2 linked regions of the Coturnix japonica genome follow. The protein of the gene in region 1 interacts with the protein of each later gene in a pairwise test. Links are inferred from orthologs where the notes say so. Each region holds a gene or a part of one and is shown in the gene's direction. Other genes may lie near its edges.

Evidence for each region. The genes of interacting proteins can lie anywhere in the genome.
Region 2: the proteins of CEP76 (region 1) and KIAA1143 interact in binary tests that used the Homo sapiens proteins (3 or more experiments, as listed by UniProt). The two-hybrid records come from large-scale screens. The link is inferred for Coturnix japonica from reciprocal best matches to the Homo sapiens genes CEP76 and KIAA1143.

What each region holds. Positions count from the first base shown.
Region 1 is NC_029517.1:87,454,344-87,457,992, forward strand, and holds part of CEP76 (centrosomal protein of 76 kDa), read left to right. Parts: intron 1-679; coding exon 680-777; intron 778-1,215; coding exon 1,216-1,344; intron 1,345-2,611; coding exon 2,612-2,803; intron 2,804-3,596; coding exon 3,597-3,649. UniProt on the Homo sapiens protein: Centrosomal protein involved in regulation of centriole duplication. Required to limit centriole duplication to once per cell cycle by preventing centriole reduplication.
Region 2 is NC_029517.1:39,705,685-39,709,777, forward strand, and holds the start of KIAA1143 (uncharacterized protein KIAA1143 homolog), read left to right. Parts: upstream 1-1,172; 5' UTR 1,173-1,235; coding exon 1,236-1,343; intron 1,344-1,855; coding exon 1,856-2,015; intron 2,016-4,093. Other genes in the region: kinesin-like protein KIF15, read right to left, coding at 691-730, 922-940.

The sequences.
Region 1 (3,649 bases):
GTTTGGTTTGATTTCAGTTCAGCTAATCAACTCATGAATTACTTTAAGGTATCAACTCATGAATTACTTTAAGGTATCCTTAAGAAGAGTTTATATAAAGGACTAATGGTCAGATTTTTGTCTTATCAAAGTGTTAAGAATGTGTGTTCCAGATCCTGTGCAATAGTGGTCCCTGTACCTGGGAGCCTCTGTTATCTCCAGGATGTGGGTAAACTATCAAAACAAACATAAATCAACAAATGCGTCTCCAGGAAAAATACCGTGTCAGTGTTCTCAAGTGTAAAATCTAGCTTGTCCTGTGTAGCAGTTATGATCCTGCTCTAACCACAGTGATCTGAGCAGTGAGTTGTACATTCAGTAACAATGGGCACTTGTACACTGTGGCTCTTCCAGTCTATTTGTAGGTGCCTATTCTAGCCCTTACAGAACAGCATTCATCTTGTATGTTCTGGTATCACCTGGAAAGAGGCCCTTAGGGCTCAGATCCAGTTACCAGCTTCTTTAGCCAGGTTATCATTCCTTTCATTCTTGAGTAGAATATTTCAGTGAAGATCTTTGTGTTGTATGTACTTAGAGAAGTTTATGGGGTTTTATTTTTATGATGGTATGATTAAAACTATTATTTGTTCTGTGTCAAATGAATTTGAAAGGACTGATAGGAATGTATTTTGGTTCAAAGGTACAGAATCAAAGGTTTCTGTCGGTGTTTTGAACATCAGACTTGAAATGTATCCACCACTTACTAAGACTCTGTCTCCAGAAATAACAAGCACTCAGGTAAGTAATATGTAGGGGGTGAGGGATGGCCTGTTCTTTTATCAGCAGGGGGGATGCACACTGTACAGTTATTTATGTAGATAAAGGGTCGGTTACTCTACTTGAAAAGCCAGTAAATGGTGGCCCAAAGGTGTTACAGATATTATTCCACACTTAGCAAGGTGAGTAGTCCTTCTATACAGATATGCGTCACTGAAGATGAACACTACTTCAGTCAAGCTTGATATATCAGCCTACAAACAAGAAATGTAAATTGAGTTTTACATTCATTGGATTTTCACTTTAAAATACTATTCTTTAGCATTGGTTGCATGCTGTCATATTAAACTTCATTTTTCATATGCAAGGATCATGTGCTAGTATGTATATTGATTACTTTTTGTTCTTGTTTGGAATTATTATATGTGTGAATGGTTGTGTGTATTTTCCTACCTGTAGTTTACTTTGGAACGTCAGAAGACAGCAGAAAAAGAACGTTTATTTCTTGTGTATGCTAAACAGTGGTGGAGAGAATACCTGCAGATCAGGCCTACACACAACTCAAGGCTGGTAAAGATTTTTGCACAGGTTTGTATATTTTACAAATACACCAATCTGTTCTTCAAGGTGTTTTTTTTAGTCTTAGCTGCATGTTTGAAGTTTGTGTATGTAGAATTTGTATAGATTTATGATGTGGTTAGATTCCATTCAGGGCTACATGTGATACAGTATGCTGACAATGAAGTTTTCAAGACTTGAACTATGTATACTGAAGCTGAAGAGTATGTTTCATAGAGAAAGGCTGCTCCAAGCACCCCTGGTGTAGGAGGTAGAAAAGCCATTTTAGTCTTTTCCTTGAATAAGTACAAATGGCAAATGCTTAAGTGATCTATACAAACTATTGCAGACAGGTTTTATACAGTAATAAGTAGTGGAGTTACTGGATATACTGGAGCAGATCCATATAATATTTGAGCACTCTGTGGTTAATAAAGTAATCTGGCTGGTGAATGTTGCATGGTAGTTACAGATGTGAACAAATCATTGGCTAGTAAGTTACTGTGTTGTAACTTACGTCACAATCACATCAGTTGTTCCTTGGTGACTGCCCCTCAGTAGTAGGAATGGTATGGGACTATAAGGACAGGCTGAGGGAGCTGGGCTTGTTCAGCCTGGAGAAAAGAAGGCTGCAGGGTGACCTCATTGCAGCCTTTCAGTACTTAAAGGGAGCCTACAAACAGGAGGAGAGTCAAGCCTTTGAAAGGGTAGATAACAGACAGCCAAGGGGAAATGGTTTCAAGTTGAGGGAGGGAAGATTTAGGCTGGATGTCAGGGGGAAGTTCTTTGAGAGTTGTGAGGTGCTGGAACAGGCTGCCCAGAGAGGCTGCTGATGCCCCATCCCTGGAGGTGTCCAAGGCCAGGTTGGATGGGGCCCTGGGCAACCTGGTCTACTATTAAATGGCAAGGTTGGTGGCCCTGCCTGTGGCAGGAGATTTGGAGATTCTTGATCCTTGAGGTCCCTTCCAACCTGGGCCATTCTGTGATGCTTTGTGTTTATCATGCTAATATATGAATTTAACTTGTAGAGCAGCAATTTTCCTGGCACAGATGATGAAATAACTTCCGGAAGCAATCCACACCTGCTGTTTGTCTTCAGGGAAGTGAGGTCTTCTCTTCTGGCTTCACCAGCTGTGTACGGGAGTAGTGTCAGCTTCCACGTAAGGGTGTGGTGCATTCATCTCACTGCTGAACACACCTGGTGCAGCCGGAATGGAAGCTTCACTGGAAACTAACAGTAGATAATGGATTGCTTTAGGAAGTTTTAATAGTACTATTATTTCTTTACCACGTTCAGGATGAAAATGGAGTAAACCGTCCGGTATGTTCATATATCAGACCACTTCGAGCGGGCCGGTTGCTAGACACACCTAGACAAGCAGCACGATTTGTCAGTGTCCTGGGTTATGAAAGAGCTCCTGTCATCGGAGGAGGTGGTGGCAAACAAGAGCAGTGGTGCACACTTCTTGCATTCGTATGTAGAAACAAGGTATGTAAAAACAGTCTTTGCATGACAACTTTTATAGTTGGAATGAAGTTAGTCATTTAAAACAGGTTGCAAAAGGTGGACTGAATCCATTTCAGAGAACTCATAAATGCAAATAGCTTTTATAAGATCAAATAGTGGCAGATGTTAAGTATTAGACAAGAGGGCTTTGGAGCTGACTTACTTTATTCAGTGCTGTTGCTTGAATCCTTTTTTCAATGAATCCATTGGACATCATGTGTAATGGTTCCTTAAGGGGGGAAAAATAAAAGCCATCATCACAAACATCCCCTTTTCCTCCTTCAACCCAGCTTATGTTGCTGAGCGCTATGACATGTGACATGGGACATCCTTTGGGTGGTCTGGATCAGCTGTTATCCTGTTTCTGTCCTCTCAGTTCCTTGTGTACCACAGCCCTTTATGGGCAAGGCAGCATGAAGAACTGAAATATCCTTGTGTCTGTGTAAACGCTGCTCTGCAGCACCTGCAATGGTGTGCTGTCAGCACTGTTCTCATAAAAAATCCAAAATGCAGCACCATATGAGCCTCTGTGAAGAACAATAACTCCATTGGAAGTTGTAAAAGCCTGATATACTTTGATATGGTGCATATTAAAAAGAGGAATTCAAGATTCTTAAGTTTGTAACCTTGAAGTCCTGACTTCTGGTGCATGTTTTAGGTAAATAGGAGGGAAACGCGACTTGTTAGATAACAACTGGAGAAATACTGCTTTCTTTTTCTAATGTTTTTAGCTATGCCTGATAGTCAAACCAACATACAAACATTTACTGTCTAGGGTGACTGTGAAGATCATGCCAACCTTCTGTGCAGTCTTCTTCTTGGCTATGG
Region 2 (4,093 bases), about 48 Mb from region 1:
CCTCTTCATTACAGGAACTCAGAAAAAGATTACACAAACGGAACACATGGTTACATATATTACACATATATTACAGAAAGAAATCTTGCATTTTCTTTGCTTTTCATAGGGAGAGAATAATCAATTCACAATCAATGATCTGATCAAGGACAGCAGCTCCTACAATTAAAATCTCCCCGGCCAATTTCACATTAATCAGTGGACACAACAGTTTGTTCTTTGTTGAACACTCTGAAGTAATGCCTCCTATTTTGTTATTCTGGCACATGACATCTGACACGGATGTTGGCGGTAGGGCAGAGGTGGACCTTCCCACCAATGAAGACTTGACACTGGATTTCAGACATCTCACTAACTTGACAAGTATTTTGTCATACAGGGCAGAAACTGTGTATATTTGGAGGGCTTTTTGTCTTTCTTTTAGCTTAGAACTCCTGCACAGAAGCCTAAAAATCCCTCAGAGATATAGTAGAGCTGGTGGGAGATCCAAGAGCTCTAAGAGAAATCCGATGCCTCAGAACCACACTTTGATTTAGGGATTTTGATTTTAAATCACTAAGTTGAGATATAGACAGTCCTGTGTGGGAAAAACACCGCGTGAAAAACTCAGCGTTACTTTCTACAGTGACACTATTTGCACTATCCCCCCCCCACACACAGAGTTATTCGTAGGAGCCAATAATACTTTACCTGGATGAGTTCATCACAGGCACCGCGGAGTCACGTAAATCTACAAAAGACGAACAATAAAATGAGGTAGATGAAAGGAATTACTGATAAATGCCCATATAAATGCTCTCGGGGACACCCGAGATGATCCCATCCCACGGCCACACACCACAGCCCGCTCAGCTCAACAGCCCTGAGGTACCCCCAGCCCCTCTCAGTTGCACACCCTGATCACCCCCTTATCCCCCTCACCTCTCGTGCCGGGAGCCATGATCCACGGGAGCCCTACAACCCCCCGCCCGCCCCCTGTCCCTCCAAAATGGCGGCTTGTTTGAATTTGGCGCTAAGAGCCGAAAGCAACGTGGCTCCTCCCCTATCATGAAGCCAACAAGGGAGCGGCCATTTCGTTACACGATCCCTTCCCCTGTTCTGCATTCTCTCCTCTCATTGGCTGGAAGCATTGCTGCCCCCGTCACGTGATGAAGGTATAGGAAGAGAGGCGGAAGTAGGAAGCGTGCTGGCTGTTCTTTTCCGGTTGCCGTCCTCCGCCACCGGAAGTGGCGGCCATGAGCAAAAGGAACCAGGTCTCCTACGTGCGGCCGGCCGAGCCCGCGTTCCTCAGCCGCTTTAAGCGGCAGGTCGGGTATCGGGAGGGGCCCACGGTGGAAACCAAGGTAACGGCCTCCATGAGGAGAGGGGCTTCCTTCTCATTGCTCGGCATCGTGTCCCTTGTAAAGGGTTCAAATGGTCTTTAATGGTCTTTAAAGGGTTAAAATGGCCATATCAGCTGATAAGCTGCTACAGTAGGGGCCGTAGGGCTTGTGTGTGCTTTTTATTCCGTTACATAAGACTCTGTAGCAATGATGGTGTATTCTCTGAACAGTTGTACTGAGTCCTACGAGCCCGTTTTAGTTGCCAAGTACAAGCAAATCCGTATTTAAAATACATAAATAAATATGTTTGTCCTTGCTGGACTGGGGCTGCAATAACACACACTGGAGGATGTGACAGATTTGTGTCATTTGGGCAAAGCACATTGGAATACATTGAAATACATTGGAAGAACCTGGTACTGTGAGCTGTGCAATGGCTTGCATCACTGCTGACCTGAAACCAAAACCACTGCCTTCTATTTTTCCAATTGATTTATATCATTTTTTTTTTTGCTTTTGTTTCTTTTCTCTAGAGAGAACAGCTTCCACTTGCGGATAGTGATTCTGAGAATGGCAGCGATAATGAAGATGAGCAGCCTCAAGTGGTTACCCTGAAAAAAGGGGACTTGACTGCTGAAGAAGCAATGAAAATTAAACAGCAAATCAAAGAGGCCTTGAAGTCGAGTGAACAAGGTGAATTTCAAACCACTAATTTCTTACTTCATATAGCCAAAGCGAGAGAATCATAAAAAGGAGCTTGATGATCTTTGCTTGTTTTCTATCATTTAATATCACCTTTGATTCCCAATCTGAAGTAATGTCCAAGCTGTCTGTTTCTATATGGTTGAAGCTCTGTTTTTCTTGATGGTGCGTCATTCTACTTCTAAAGCACCACGTTAATTTATTATTGATAATAATTGGGGAGTAGGGAAATGGAGTGTCATTAGCTTGCTGTATATTCTTCACATCACCTGTGATAACTTCTGAACTCACTAATCAGTTAATTAACCTTGTTCAATGGTAGGGTTGGGTGTATTAGAGGCAATCTTATGATAATACGTATGTAGGAGGAAACTCAAGTTAGTGCTTCAGAGAAGAGAATGACTGGTTTGTAAGCTTAGTTCCTCAATGAGTTAACTGGCTGCTCCACATCAGTACTTTCTTGAGATCATCCTCAGTGTGCATTGTGACTTGCATAACTAGTAGGGCACATGGAAAACAAGTAGCAGTGCTGCAGTGTGACTTTAGATGTGAAAGAAAGGGGGTGAATGAGATAAACAGAAGGTTTTCATGGATATAGGGAGTGACATGAAAGGAAAAGGAGCCAAGATCTTTAAAGCAGGTTTGGAACCTAAAATCAAACTGCAGTAAACCAGACTAACTTATTTCTGCTGTTCCTTATGCATCTTCTACACTATTTATATGAATATAGAAAAATATTTCGACTACCCTTTTGGTTATTTTGTATTTATTTTTGTAAATTTAGACTATTTCACTGAAAACAAAGTTGCACAGATAAACAGTTTTGCTTTTACACTGCTTAAAAGATAGTAAAATAAAAAATCTGGACTTTGTTTCATTGCTTATCTCTTCTGGAGATAATAAACTATCTAGAACCTGGGGAGAGGGTGACAATGTGTTCAATAACTGATGCAAGAAAATACATAGAATCATAGAATTACCCAGGTTGGAAAAGACCTTGAAGATCATCAAGTCCAACCGCAGCCTAACCATAGTACCCTCACAACCCTCTGCTAAATCATATCCCTGTGCACCAGGGATGCCATCTACAGCTAGTATGGGAAAGCTGTTGTTCTTGTGGGTGTATGACAGACCACTGAGAAGATTGAAATGCAACATTTCAACTAAAAGTAAGGTCTTGTTTCTCAATGGGAAATTGATAATTTCATTGTATTGTTCAATCTCTTTGGAAAATCTGTTAACAGCTTAACATTCTTAATAGAGTGAGCAGAAAAACTCTTGTTAATTCTATTATGAAAGTTAATTGGTGTTGCAGTTTGTATAGCTGTTGCATGATTTCTTTTCAAAAGTTGTCCTGTCATTCTAGTACCGCTAGAAATTTCATCTGACTGGAAAGAAATGGCATTCTTTTGGAGTGTTGGTTTCTTTTTCATGTAAGCAGGTTAGTATTTGAACGGTCACAGTAGGAGGAAAAATGATTTTGTAAAGCTATGCAAGAAGAAGTAGTTGTCCATGAGAATCTATTGAGGTGGAGTCCATGCTGTGAAAGAGAGTTCGAAAGCAGCTGATATACTAAGATGAATACACAATGTGAAAATGGAAGTGTATTTGAACAGAGCCACTGAATTTTTCTGGTGGAAAAAGGCATTCCTGAGGCATAAATATAAATCTATGTAGTAAGAATAGTAGTTTTGAGTCCCTGCTGGACTTCAGGACCTCTGCTTTTGCTTCTTCATTCACCAAGGGATAACATGCACTTGAGGGAAAAAATCTGCAGTGGTTGGTAGCAGGACTATTAAAATGCTATACTGTGGGTAGTGCTGCTCTCTATTCTGCATGATAGTGTTACTATCTGCCTTTGCTGTCACTCCGAGGTCTTGCTTTTGCTTCTTGTTCTTATGAGAATACACATGTCAAATGTGTTTGTATGTATGTGCCTCTGCTGTGCAGAGGACTGAGTGTGAAACTGTCAGTGAAGATCTGGTGCTGCAAGTTGCTGAAGGCTTCTTCAAGTCTTTGTCCATCTTTGCCCTGTCAGCGGGGAGATTTAAATGTAGAGGTTTTATTTC